Linked DNA regions of Macaca fascicularis. The protein of the gene in region 1 binds, or shares a complex with, the protein of each later gene. Links are inferred from orthologs where the notes say so. Each region holds a gene or a part of one and is shown on either strand. Other genes may lie near its edges.

Region 1 (4,300 bases):
GGCATATGCCTGTAGTCCCAGCTACTGGGGAGGCTGAAGCAGGAAGATCACTTGAGCCTAGGAGTTTGAGTTTACAGTGAGCTACAATTGCACCACTGCATTCCAGGCCTGGTCAAAAGAGCAAGACTCTGTTTCTTTTCTTTTCTTTCTTTTTTTTTTTTTTTTTTGTGACGGAGTTTTACTCTTGTTGTGCCGGGTGGAGTGCAATGGCGCAATCTCGTCTCACTGCAACCTCTACCTCCCAGGTTCAAGTGATTCTCCTGCCTCAGCCTCCCCAGTAGCTGGAATTACAGGCACATGTCACCATGCCCGGCTAATTTTACATTTTTAGTAGAGACGGGGTTTCACCATGCTGGCCAGGCTGGTCTTGGACCTAAGAAGATCTGCCCACTTCGGCCTCCCAAAGTGCTGCGATTACAGACGTGAGCCACCGTGTGCCCAGCCAAGACCCTGTTTCTAAGGAAGAAAAAAAGAAAGAAAGAAAAAAAAAAAACAATAAATAAATAAATAAAGCAAACATTGAAGTTGTCCTATTCAACTCTGCCTAATTAGAGATTTAGCTCTCAACCTTTCCTGGTGTTGGGGGTGATGGGAAAGATTCCAGGCAGAGGGAACGGCACGGATATACCACAAAACTGGGAACAAGCTTGTCATATTCAAGAATCTGAAACAGGTGCACGCCTTGACCGTTTTGACACAGTAAATACTTATTCAATGACAGATGGTGTGACCTTGGGCAAGAGAGACCAAATGAGACTAGGATGTCAGAAATGCTTTTTCAGGCTTTCAAAAATCAATCTGTTTTCAACTGAGAGGCCATTCATTCTAATCTTTTTTTTTTTCTTTTTTTTTTTTTTTTTGAGACAGAGTCTCACTCTGTGGCCCAGGCTGGAGTGCAGTCGTGCCATCTCGACTCACTGCAAGCCCCGCCTCCCGGGTTCAGGCCATTCTCCTGTCTCAGCCTCCTGAGTAGCTGGGACTACAGGTGCCCGCCACCATGCCCGGCTAATTCTTTGTATTTTCAGTAGAGATGGGGTTTCACTGTGTTAGCCAGGATGGTCTCAATCTCCTGACCTCGTGATCTGCCCGCCTTGGCCTCCCAAAGAGCTGGGATTACAAGCATGAGCCACCGTCTCTGGCTAATCTCCCTTACTTTCTTATTCTTCTCACAGCTTTCCAGTCATGCCACCCACGGATGTGGACCATTGTCCTTTACCCAGTCTATCCAGTCTGGAAGACTTTTTCAGGTACTTTTCCTTCATATATAGGCACACAGTCAATATACATCCAACTCTATGCCTTTGAACCCAGCAATTATTTCACTGGGTGGTGAGTCAGTGGTGCACCCTGGGAGTTGGTCCAGCGCCCTTGGCACATGAAAGCCTTTGAACATGGGGCCAGTGGAGTGCTACATGAAATACACTCCATCAGGCTTATGCTCATCTTGCTCTCTTTAGATAGAGTCTTGCTCTGTTGCCCAGGCTGGAGTGCAGTGGTGTGATCTCTGCTCACTGCAGCTTATGCCTCCTGGGTTCAAGCAATTCTCCTGCCTCAGCCTTCCAAGTAGCTGGGATTACAGGCAGGCGCCAACACACCCAGCTAATTTTTGTAGTTTTTAGTAGAGACGGGGTTTCGCCATGTTGCCCAGGTTGGTCTCAAACTCCTGGCCTCAAATGATCCGCCCGCCTTGGCCTCCCAAAGTGCTGGGATTACAGGCGTGAGCCACCACGCCCAGCCTGGGTTTCTGTATTAGAATAACCCTGGGCAAGACAACCTTCTGAGCCTTGCCATTATCACCTGGAAAGCAGGTCTAATACTCATTGCCATGCCATGTTCACAGGGCTGTTGTGAAGATAAAATGCAAGAATGATGGGGAAAAAAATAGAGTAATTATAACTGACATTTGTTTTATTCAGAGCTAGACGCTGATGCAAAGCATCTAGGACGATGCTCTGACAGAGGAGGAAACGCAGGGCTGAGATCAGCTTCGTATGCACACTGGCTTTGATCAAACCGCTGCACAGCAACCAGCAGCTCCACCCTGATGAAGCAGAGGGTGGAGGTTAAACGGCTCAGACCCTGGGTCTGGCTCCATCTCTAACCGCGTGACCTTGGGCCTGTAGCTTAACCTGTCTGGGGTTCCGCTTCCTCTTGCGTGGAACGGGGATCACAGAAGGGGTTCAGACGGAACTGAGAGGGTCCATTTAAAGCTCTGGCCAGTGGTGTCTTGGTAGGCAGTTCATTTTCACTTTACCATTATATTTGTTCTTACTGATTTAAGGGCACCACCATGACGTTTGTGGCGCTTAGCGGGGTAAAGTGTGGTCAGGAAGACCGGGGTTTGAGTGGCGCAGGGCCTAGGCCGCTCCTTTCCTGGGCTTCAGTTTCCCGCCTCAAAATGATGGGCGGATTGGTTGAGCAACACCCACCCTTCCCGCCCCTCGGCGCCTGGCTGCGCAGCGACCCTCCTAGATGGGGAAACTCCCACCACCCCATAGGCCGGGGAAGGGGCGGGGCAGGGGTGGGGCCTGGCGAGGGTAGGGTCCGGCCGCCCTACCTGCTGCCGCTCACCTCTAGGCTGTAGTTGCCTCGGATGGCAGTAAAGTCGTCCAGGGCTTCGGCCGCGCTCCCCTCGTCCAGGTTCAGCTCCTGGCACAGGGCCTGTAGCGCCTCCCCGGCTGCGGCGACCACCGCCACCCCCTCAGCGTGGGACTCGTCCTCGAACATCCCTTCAGGCCCCGCGGGCAGCGCGCCACGGCCCCCGACTTCTTTCTCCCTCCCAGGCGCGCTACCCACAACCACCTGCGCCAAAGCGCGCGAAAACTTGCAGTTGCGGGGGTGCTTCGTCATGCACCGTCTGCCTCCGCTTTTCTCCTCAAAAAAAAGTCCGTTTTTCCTCCGGAGCTCCTAGCCGTCCCTCCCCGGAAATGTGATAAGAATACGGACCTCAGATTCTGAAATACCTGGCCTTAGCCCTTGGCTGGTCGCGGGGGGCCGAGCCGGCGGGACAAAAAAAAGAGCGGAGGGATCATCAGCCTGCGCGCAGAGCCTGCTGGGAGATGTAGTCCATCTCCTGGGAGATGAAGCCCGCGGCCTCCCCCTGTCTTCCTGGTTAGGCTCCTGGGTTTTTGGGCAGGCCTGGGCTGCCTACTGCGAGGTGGCCTCGTGCAGTGTAGTGAGATGCCTCCTCTATCCACGGGCCCTGGGTTTGTCACTGTCCCGGGGCGCCAAACATAATCTGACTGAGCTGTACCCCTTGAGTTAGGAGATGGAGGCTGGAAGAGAAAAAAAATAGCCCCTGGACGAAGAGGGGCCTCCTGGGACTCTCCCCAAAGTCCCAGTGCCCAGTGAGCGGTTCGCTAAATGACGGAGGGGAAGGACTGGTGAGGGATATTAGAAGATGGATCCTCATCTTATGTTAGTCGCTAAAAGACGCGGGCAGAGAAGACTGCAGTAATGAGGCAGGAGAATAGGGTCTGGAGGTAGGGAACCTATGGCTGTTTCACGTGACTTCCTAGAACTAAATTGAAAGGAAAACCCCAACTTTCCACGCCTAAGTAACAAAAGAACCAGAGGTTATTCCCTTGGACCTTTCATGCATGGCAGATGGGAAATTGACCGTCCACAAGAAACCACACTGAGCGCCTTCCAGTCTTCATTTGCAACTTTGTAACTTCACTCCAGCCTCTGAATGGTTGTGAGAGGTGACAGTGTGCTAGCAGCCCTCACTCTCAGCGCCTCCTCGGCCTCAGCGTCCACTCTGGCGGCGCCTGAGGAGCCCTTCAGCCCGCCATGGCACCGTGGGAGCCCCTCTCTGGGCTGGCTGAGGCCGGAGCCGCCTCCCTTTGCTTGCAGGGAGGTGTGGAGGGAGAGGTGCGGGTGGGAACCGGGGCTGCGCCCGGGGCTCGCGGGCCAGTGTAAGTTCCAGCGGGCGCGGGCTGGGGATCGGCGGGCCCCGCACACGGAGCGGCCAGCTGGCGCCGCCGGCCCAGGGCAGTGAGGGGCTTAGCACCCGGGCCAGCAGCTGCGGAAGTTGCGCTGGGTCCCCCAGCAGTGCCGGCACGCCCGCGCCGCACTCAAATTCTCGTTGGGCCTTAGCTGTCTCCCCGCGGGCCAGGGCTAGGGACCTACAGCCCGCCATGTCTGAGCTCCACCCCCTGCGGTGGGCTCCTGCGTGGCCTGAGCCTCCCCGACGGAAGCCGCCCCCTGCTCAGTGAGGCCCGGTCCCATCGACCGCCCAAGGACTGAGGAGTGCAGGCGCGGCTCCGGACTGGCGGGCAGCTCCTCCTGCAGCCCCCGT
Region 2 (3,500 bases), on another chromosome or scaffold:
GCAGAAGTCAAAACGGGGACGACCTCCTTTAAAATCAACCCTTTCATCAAACATGCCGTATGGCTTATCTAAGACAGCAAACAGTGAAGGAAAATCAGGTACCAGAAGTGCTCGCAGCAATATACCAGACAGCTCACCTCTGTCAAATGGAATGGAAGGTGCTCGATTTTGAGGATGGCTGACTTTAAAAAAAATAATAACATAAATAATAAAACTTCCATTGTGTGAAATATTCACAGTACAGGTTGAGTATCCCTTGCCCAAAATGCTTGGGACTAGAAGTGTTTTGGATTTTTGGATTTTTTTTTTTTATTATTTTTGAATATTGCATATACATAATGAGCTATCCTGGGGATAGGACCCAAGTCTAAACATGAAAATTAGTGCTTCATACACACCTTATACACATAGCCTGAAAGTAATTTTATACCATATTTTTAATAGTTTTGTTCATGAAATATTGTGTACTTTGAACCATCAGAAATCAAAGGTATAACTGTCTCAGCCACTCATGTGAACAGTCTGTGATTGTTTGGCATCACTGTTATTCTTGACTCTGAATTTATATGCCACCTACTGATAAGTAATTTTCTTACACATAATTACATAACAGTAAAATATATGACTTACAATTAATACAGTGGAAAAATAGTGTGTGTGAGGAAACTAAGCAGCGAGGTAGCATCATCAGAATATCTGTATTGGCTGCTAAACAACACTGACAACAAACAGCAGGCTTTCAATCTCCACCTACGATGCTGTGTTTTCATTAAAAGGTTACCTGTACACTAGCCTGGGGCTGCCGAAGACAGTTGTGCACCTGTGTTTGGATGCAATCTGTCCCATGAGGTCAGGTGTGGAATTTTCTACTTGGGGCATCATGTTGGTGCCCAAAAAGTTTGGAATTTGGAGCATTTTGGATTTCAGGTTTTTGGACTAGGGGTGTTCAACCTGTAAATCACCTAGGTTTTTAATCTCATATGATTGAAACTATAAAATTTGATTTGAAGAAAATATTTTGCTGTATCATTTTTATTTGAAATTTAGTGATGTTTTCATTTAGGAATACTTTTTCTCATAAATATCTTAAAAATAATATATTTTAATAGAAGGTGAATTGACAATCCATGCATCCTAATGTGTTCTACACTTTCCCTGAAAGCCTGTACCAGTGTCTCCTATAAATTCAGTGCTGTTCACCTGGGATCTTTCAGCAAAGCTGAAACCATGTGGTTCTAAGAGAACACAGACTATTGTGGTACAGGCATGTTTTATAATGAGTATAGGTGAACATATTTTATTCTGCTTGTACTCATTTTCCCCACTTTTCTACCTCTGTATACTTTTAAATGTAATTAAGAAATTATAGGCTGAGCGCAGTGGTTCATGCCTGTAATCCAGCACCTTGGGAGGCTGAGGCAGAAGGATCACTTGAGCCCAGGAGTTCCAGACCAGCCATGACAATATAGTGAGACTCCATCTTTACGAAAAAAATTTAAAAATTTAGCCCGGCGTGGTGGTGTGCACCTGTGGTCCCAGCTACTCAGAAGGCTGAGGTGGGAGGATTGCTTGACTCTGGGAGGTCAAGGCTACAGCAAGTGTAATCATAGCATTGCACTCCACCCTGGGTAGCAGAGCAAGACCCTACCTCACTCTGTCACCCAGGCTGGAGTGTAGTGGCGCAATCTCAGCTCCCTGCAACCTCCACCTCCTGGGTTCAAGCAGTTTTCCCGCCTCAGCCTCCCAAGTAGCTGGGACCACAGGTGTGCACCACCATACCTGGCTGATTTTTGTATTTTTAGTAGCAACAGGGTTTTACTATGTTAACCAGGCTGGTCTCGCACTCTTGACTTCAAGTGATCTACCCGCCTCAGCCTCCTAAAGTGCTGGAATTACAGGCATGAGCCACTGTGCCCAGACCCGAAAAAAGAAATTTTAAATGGTTGTCTTACATAAAAATTTCTCTTCTTTCAAGAAAAAAGCTATACTGAACTACATGTTTGCTATTAGTACCTGTGGTGCTTGTGTGCAAATTATAAAAGGACATCCTTCCTCTTTACTGCCATCTGCTGACAAACGAAAGATGTCCACAAAGTGAAAGGTACCTAGACGGCATAACTGTGTTTAGTGTCCAGTCTACAAAACTACGTACCAGCCTTATTAAACTACCACTGAAAGGGATTTTTTAAAACATGAAAATGAATTCTACATTCTGTTTATGATAAAACCACAAAATAAAATTGTATACACCTTTTCACTTAAAAATTCATTTTTGCAGTTTTGAACTTCTTGAGGATATGAGCACCATGTGGACAAGATTTTTATATTTTTTAGATCCTATACAGTCTTAGAACCCTACTTTATTATTTTACAAGTTCCCTTACTTACAGGGAATAATTTTTGTTTCCTGTACTTTCTTGTTTGTTAAGAATATTTAAAGTTTTGAGTCCAGTTGCCCATTTTAAAAACTTTTCTTGCTGGGCGCCATGGCTCATGCCTGTAATCCCAGCACTTTGGGAGGCTGACACAGGCGGATCACTTGAGGTCAGGAGTTTGAGACCAGCCTGGCCAACATGACAAAACCCCGTCTCTACTAAAAATACAAAAATTAGCCGGGCGTGGTGGCCCGTGCCTATCCCAGCTCCTCAGGAGACTGAGGCAGGAGAATGGCTTGAACCTGGGAGGCAGAGCTTGCAGTGAGCCAAGATCACGCCACTGCACTCCAGCCTGGGCGACCGAGTGAGACTGTGTCTTAAAAAGAAAAAAGAAAGAAAAGGAAAGGAAAGAAAACAAACTTTTCTTTCCACAATTATTTTAAGTAGAATGTCATATTCCTTTCTTAGGATACAAAATGCCCATCACATGTCCCTCCTAGATACTATCTCAAACCACTTAACAAATTAACTTCATGTCTAGGATGTCTAGGTACTGATCCTTTGATGTTTTTTTAAGGACTCTAGTACCTAAATATGATACTGGGGAATATTGCAAAATAGCTTTTCATGTAGATTTGAGTTAGTAATACGCAATATAATATATTTTTACTTGGCGCTTAGTGTAGTTTCCCCTCCCCCTCAAATTCTTGGCACAAATGTTATGATTTGTTTTATATCAGAACTTTCTACAGGGAGGTATTCAGAGGTACATGATTAATATTTTTATTGTTATTTTTGGTAAGATTTTTATTATAAAATTACATTGGTAATATAAAAACCTGCATAATATAATAATATTTCCTCTTACAGACTCTTGTTCATCTGATAGTGAAACAGAAGATGCTTTAGAAAAGAATCTAATAAATGAAGAACTTTCTCTTAAAGATGAACTAGAAAAAAATGAAAATTTGAATGATGATAAGCTAGATGAAGAAAATCCAAAGATTTCTGCACACATATTAAAAGAAAATGATAGGACTCAGCTGCAGCCTTTAGAAACCCTGAAGTTAGAAGTTGGAGAGAATGAACAAATAGTACAGATTTTTGGAAACAAAATGGAACAAG
Region 3 (4,277 bases), on another chromosome or scaffold:
CTGGTCCAGCTGGATGAGCTGCGGGATGGCGTCACGCATCTGGATGGCAATCTTCACCACGTTCCGCGGAGGCGTCATGGTCCAGCCGGGGCGTGGGCACCTGCACTTTTCGGAGACCGTGCACCTCCGGCCAAGGGTACACCTGGCTTGGGGCCCCTGGGGACGAGGAGGTCCTCCCTCTTTCCGAGACCTGACCTTGGTGTCCCGCACTCGCGGCCCAGACTGACCTGGCCATGCAGTGCGGCCTTCCCATGAGAGCCGAGGTTAGTTCCGGGTTGGAGTCCGGGGATAGGAAGGTAGGACGGCTCTGCCTGCCCCGCCCCGCCTGCCCCGCCCCGCCGAGGCGTCCCCGCCCCACACCTACGTGCAGCAGGTGGGGGCGGGGAGGGCAGGCTGCCGGAGGCCGCCCCACACCCCCGGTTCCAGCAAGGTGACCCACCCAGTCACACTGCCAATCCAGCACAGTCCCAAGGAGGGTCCCGAAAGAACCACATCAGAGCTAGCCTTAGGCACGGTTTTTATTCACTTGGACACTGTACAAATATTACAATTTCCTTTTGCTGCAAAAAGTATAAAAATAATCTTTATATAGGAATCCATTCGTTACTGTAAATCTTTCTAAATCTCTGCAAATGGCTCTAAATGAGGGTAAATGAATAAGCAGAAATGAAGATAGGATATGGGGCAGCAGGAGGTGGGGTCAATCCTCAGGGCTGGACCACCCAGACTCCTCCTGAGACCTCTGTTCCTTCTTGGTAGCCACCCCCACCACCTGCAGCTTCTAGGGCTAAAGGCCCAGCAGAAGGGGGCACGTGAGAGGGCCAGGAGGAGCTGGAGGGTCAGGGGGTGGGGGACAGCGAAGGAAGCTAGGGGCGGTGCTGGCACGTGCCCAGTTCCATGCCACCCTTCACTCCTAGGGGAAGTAGCTGGCAGGAGCAAGACAGTGAGGCTGGACAAGCTGCCCTATGGGGGGGCGATGGCAGCTCCTCGGTTCTGTGCCACTGGGTGGCAGCCGAGCCTGGGCTGGGGAAGGCCGCAGAAAGGGAGAAGCAAACACTTTGGCTCCACGGTGATGGGGGCTGATTCCGTTCCCCTGCTCTGCAAGCACAGAAGTGCCAGCACAGGAGCCGGAGCTGTGGCCAGAACTGTGTGGTGAGGGGAGGCTGGAGAAGCCAGGCGTCTGTGGCTCTCAAGCTGTGTAGGGGTCGGATGGGGGAGGTCCCCAGGCAACCCCCAGGTCAGACAGTCTGGGTCCCAGCCACACAGGGCATGTCCCTGTCAGTCAGAGGTTGAGAACAGGCACATCAAAGAGGTCACAGACACCTTCACTCTCGTCCAGGTTGTAGATATAATCGTGGTCTCCGGGGGGTGGAGAAAGACGGAGCAGCGGGGCAAACACTGCAGAGAGCACTAGTCTCAGGCCCTGGGCCAGGGCTCCCCTAGCAGCAGCCCAACCCCTGCCCACAACCACTCCCACCTTCCAGGGCCACCCACCTTCTGAGGACATCAACTCCTCCAGCAGCTCCGAGCTCATGCACTCTGGGAATGGAGGGAGCTCAGTTACTAACATTCCAGCTCCCAACTCTCCAGCTACCAAAGCCCAGGAAAGGGAACCCCACCTGCCCATCAGGAACTTCACCCTTTGCCCCAGTTACCATAAGCGCCACCACAAGGTCCTCAAAAGGGCAAGAAAACAGCCGTAGGACCCAATGGGCTGTGTCCCTTACCCCTACCCCCAGGGAGGAATGCAGCAGCCTACCTCGTGTGGGATCAAAGATTTCTGACAGCTCTTTGGGGAGTTCCAAAACTGAAAAACAAGAAAGCCATGCTCAGGACACAAGAGGTCCAACCTGGCACCACTACAGCCCCGTGGCTTCCTCGGATCCTATACCACCCACCCTGAGGCTCCACACAGCTGAGGAGATGTAGTAGGCCCTGCCTAGGCCAAGCTGGCACTGTCTGTTGGCCTCACTTGCTAAACCTGAATTCCTCAGTGCTGAGCCCAGGGCACCAAAGGCCCACTGCAAGTGATTGGTACAGCTTTTCTAACTCAGAAAGGTCACAGAAGCGTCTTTCTGGGCTCAGCATGCACCCCCTGTCTGATGGAAGGTACCCCATCTGTCCCACCCTTGCTGAGCATCTGCTCTGTGCAAGACTCAGAGACCAGACCCTGGGTCAGGTCACCAGGCAGAGGTGGTGGCGCTACAGGGTGATGACTCCACTACAAACCTCTGGCCAGGAGGACACAGGGGAAGCAGAAGAAAATGCAACCAGAGAGGACCATGAGGGATTTCACATGCCAGGCTCAGGAGTTCAGATCTTATCTGGTGGCCCTCAGGGAGTCATTAAAGGTACTTTTGCAAACAGAGAAATGCCACATTTTTCTGTCAGGCCTGCATTTCAGAAAGATTAGTCTGTCAGTCAGGGTAAAGAGAAAGATGCTGAAGAATCCAGGACAGAGGTGGCCAGGGGTCATCCTGAGTGCTGAGGATACCAGGGGATAGGAGAGGACATCTGGGACAGACCTCGCTTAGCTGGCATGGGGTGGGCAGCAGAAGGAGGAGGGAGAAGGAGCTGGAACTAAGAGTGAGAGCCAAGGATCAGGCCTGGATAAATAGGGCCGACGGTAGGGTGTGCAGAGGTGGAAAGCAAGCTTCAGGGAGAAACTAACTTCAGTCGAGGACATGCAGGAATAAAGTGTCCATTGGATGTACAGAGGACGGCAGGTGGACACCAAAGTGCATATCGGGAAAAGATCTAGGCCAGGCGGAGGCTGGGGATTCGTTCACCCAGAGCTACAGCCCTCTCCAGGAGTGGAATGGGACATAGCCCTCAAAAACAGCAATGTTTAAGGACATGCCAGGGAGAGTTCAAGAAGCCAGTGAGACAAGAGAGCCAAGAGCTGGCATAATTATGCCAAAGGAAGAAAGAATATTGACACAGACCAAGAGAGCACCAGCAAAACAGGCTGGAGGCTGCTGGGCTCGGCAGGCCTTTGGTAGCTTCTCAAGAGTGACACTGCTGTAACACTGGGGCTGGGGGAGTGACTGCTGCAACTTGAAAGGTGACTAGGAGACCAATGAGTGGAGATTACTTTTTCAAGGAGTCCAGACAGAAAGGAGACAGAGAAGATGAGAAAGAGTGATACAGAGAAGTGTCAATTAGTGAGGCGGTACTCCAATAGGTGGCAGGAAAGGGCTTGAGAGAGGGCAGGGAGTTCTGTGTTAGCCTAGGATGGGGTACTAGAGGGGGCTCCAGCACTGACCCAGAGGTGCTGGCAGAGAGCTCTCGTGTCCGACAGGGTTGACGGGAGAGCTGGGTTCCATCCCCATTGTTTCTGACCTAGGACTGGACTGAGGCTAGACTCTCTCTCTCTGCCCCTAGGGGGCAGGTACTCACCACCTGTGGGGTCTGCCTTGATGGGCTCAAAGGAGGTAGAAGGGTTGGGTCCAGATAAACTGCTGCTGTTACTGCTGCTGCTGCTGCTGCTGCTACTGCTGCTGCTGCTGCTGCTGCTGTCCAGCAGGGCAGAAGACTGCAGTGGCCGGGTGTCCAGTGCTGTTGGGCCCAGTGGGAGTGAACTGAGCTCACCACTGTCCTTGCTATCAGTTCCAGGGCCGCCACTCACTGCAATGATAGCCCCCAAACCCAGTCACACAAGGTCAAGAAGAGGTTGTTAAACCTGGCTGTGCTGGAACCCAGACCCAGGAGGACCCAAGCCTGGTTTCCAGACCCAAGGAGAATTAGGCATTGCCAGTCACCCCCGAGGAAGTAACCTAAAATTTGTCACTACAGGAGACAGACAGGAACATAAGACCTACAGAAAGAGACTCGTGGTCAACATGTCTGCTGTGGCCGTACTTCAAGACAGGCTACCAGGGCAATTGAGACACCAGTGGATGTGGATCTGGGGGAGAAAACTGCCACCAGCAATGTCTCTTCCCACAGTCAGAGGTTCCCTATTAAAAAGGGCCCATTCAGGCGGGCATGGTGGTTCAAGCCTGTAATCCCAGCACTTTGGGAGGCCGAGGCAGGCGGATCATTTGAGGTCAGGAGTTCGAAACCAGCCTGGCCAACATGGTGAAACCCCGTCTCCACTAAAAGTACAAGAATTAGCTAGCTGCGTGTGGTGGTGGGTGCCTGTAATCCCAGCTACTCGGGAGGCTAAGACAGGAAAATTTCTTGAGCTCGGGAGGCGGACGTTGCAGTGAGCCAAGATTGCGCCACTGCACACTCCAGCCTGGGGGACACAGTGAGACACCGTCTCAATTTAAAAA

The links. Proteins that work in one complex are often made in the same cells at the same time.
Region 2: the proteins of RBL1 (region 1) and ARID4A are in contact, whole or in part, in a crystal structure (PDB 7SMC), measured with the Homo sapiens proteins. The link is inferred for Macaca fascicularis from reciprocal best matches to the Homo sapiens genes RBL1 and ARID4A. Residues at the interface, in NP_002886.2 of Homo sapiens: Tyr849, Ile850, Lys853, Val854, Thr860, Phe861, Gln862, Met865, Lys866, Arg869, Tyr879, Arg880, Asp929, Leu930, Ile931, Tyr934, Asn935, Val939, Ala946, Leu947; in NP_002883.3 of Homo sapiens: Leu957, Val958, Cys959, His960, Glu961, Val962, Asp963, Leu964, Asp965, Asp966, Leu967.
Region 3: RBL1 (region 1) and E2F4 share a complex: the UniProt entries of both Homo sapiens proteins name them as parts of the DREAM complex. The link is inferred for Macaca fascicularis from reciprocal best matches to the Homo sapiens genes RBL1 and E2F4.

The regions. Positions count from the first base shown.
Region 1 is NC_088384.1:93,203,980-93,208,279, forward strand, and holds the start of RBL1 (retinoblastoma-like protein 1), read right to left. Parts: upstream 2,801-4,300; 5' UTR 2,728-2,800; coding exon 2,572-2,727; exon of another isoform or gene 1,917-2,571; intron 1,248-1,916; exon of another isoform or gene 1,173-1,247; intron 1-1,172. UniProt on the Homo sapiens protein: Key regulator of entry into cell division. Directly involved in heterochromatin formation by maintaining overall chromatin structure and, in particular, that of constitutive heterochromatin by stabilizing histone methylation.
Region 2 is NC_088381.1:126,210,003-126,213,502, forward strand, and holds part of ARID4A (AT-rich interactive domain-containing protein 4A), read left to right. Parts: coding exon 1-158; intron 159-3,245; coding exon 3,246-3,500.
Region 3 is NC_088394.1:63,216,797-63,221,073, reverse strand, and holds the end of E2F4 (transcription factor E2F4), read right to left. Parts: intron 3,628-4,277; coding exon 3,400-3,627; intron 1,808-3,399; coding exon 1,760-1,807; intron 1,540-1,759; coding exon 1,495-1,539; intron 1,399-1,494; coding exon 1,283-1,398; 3' UTR 501-1,282; downstream 1-500. Other genes in the region: ELMO3 (engulfment and cell motility protein 3), read right to left, coding at 1-78. UniProt on the Homo sapiens protein: Transcription activator that binds DNA cooperatively with DP proteins through the E2 recognition site, 5'-TTTC[CG]CGC-3' found in the promoter region of a number of genes whose products are involved in cell cycle regulation or in DNA replication.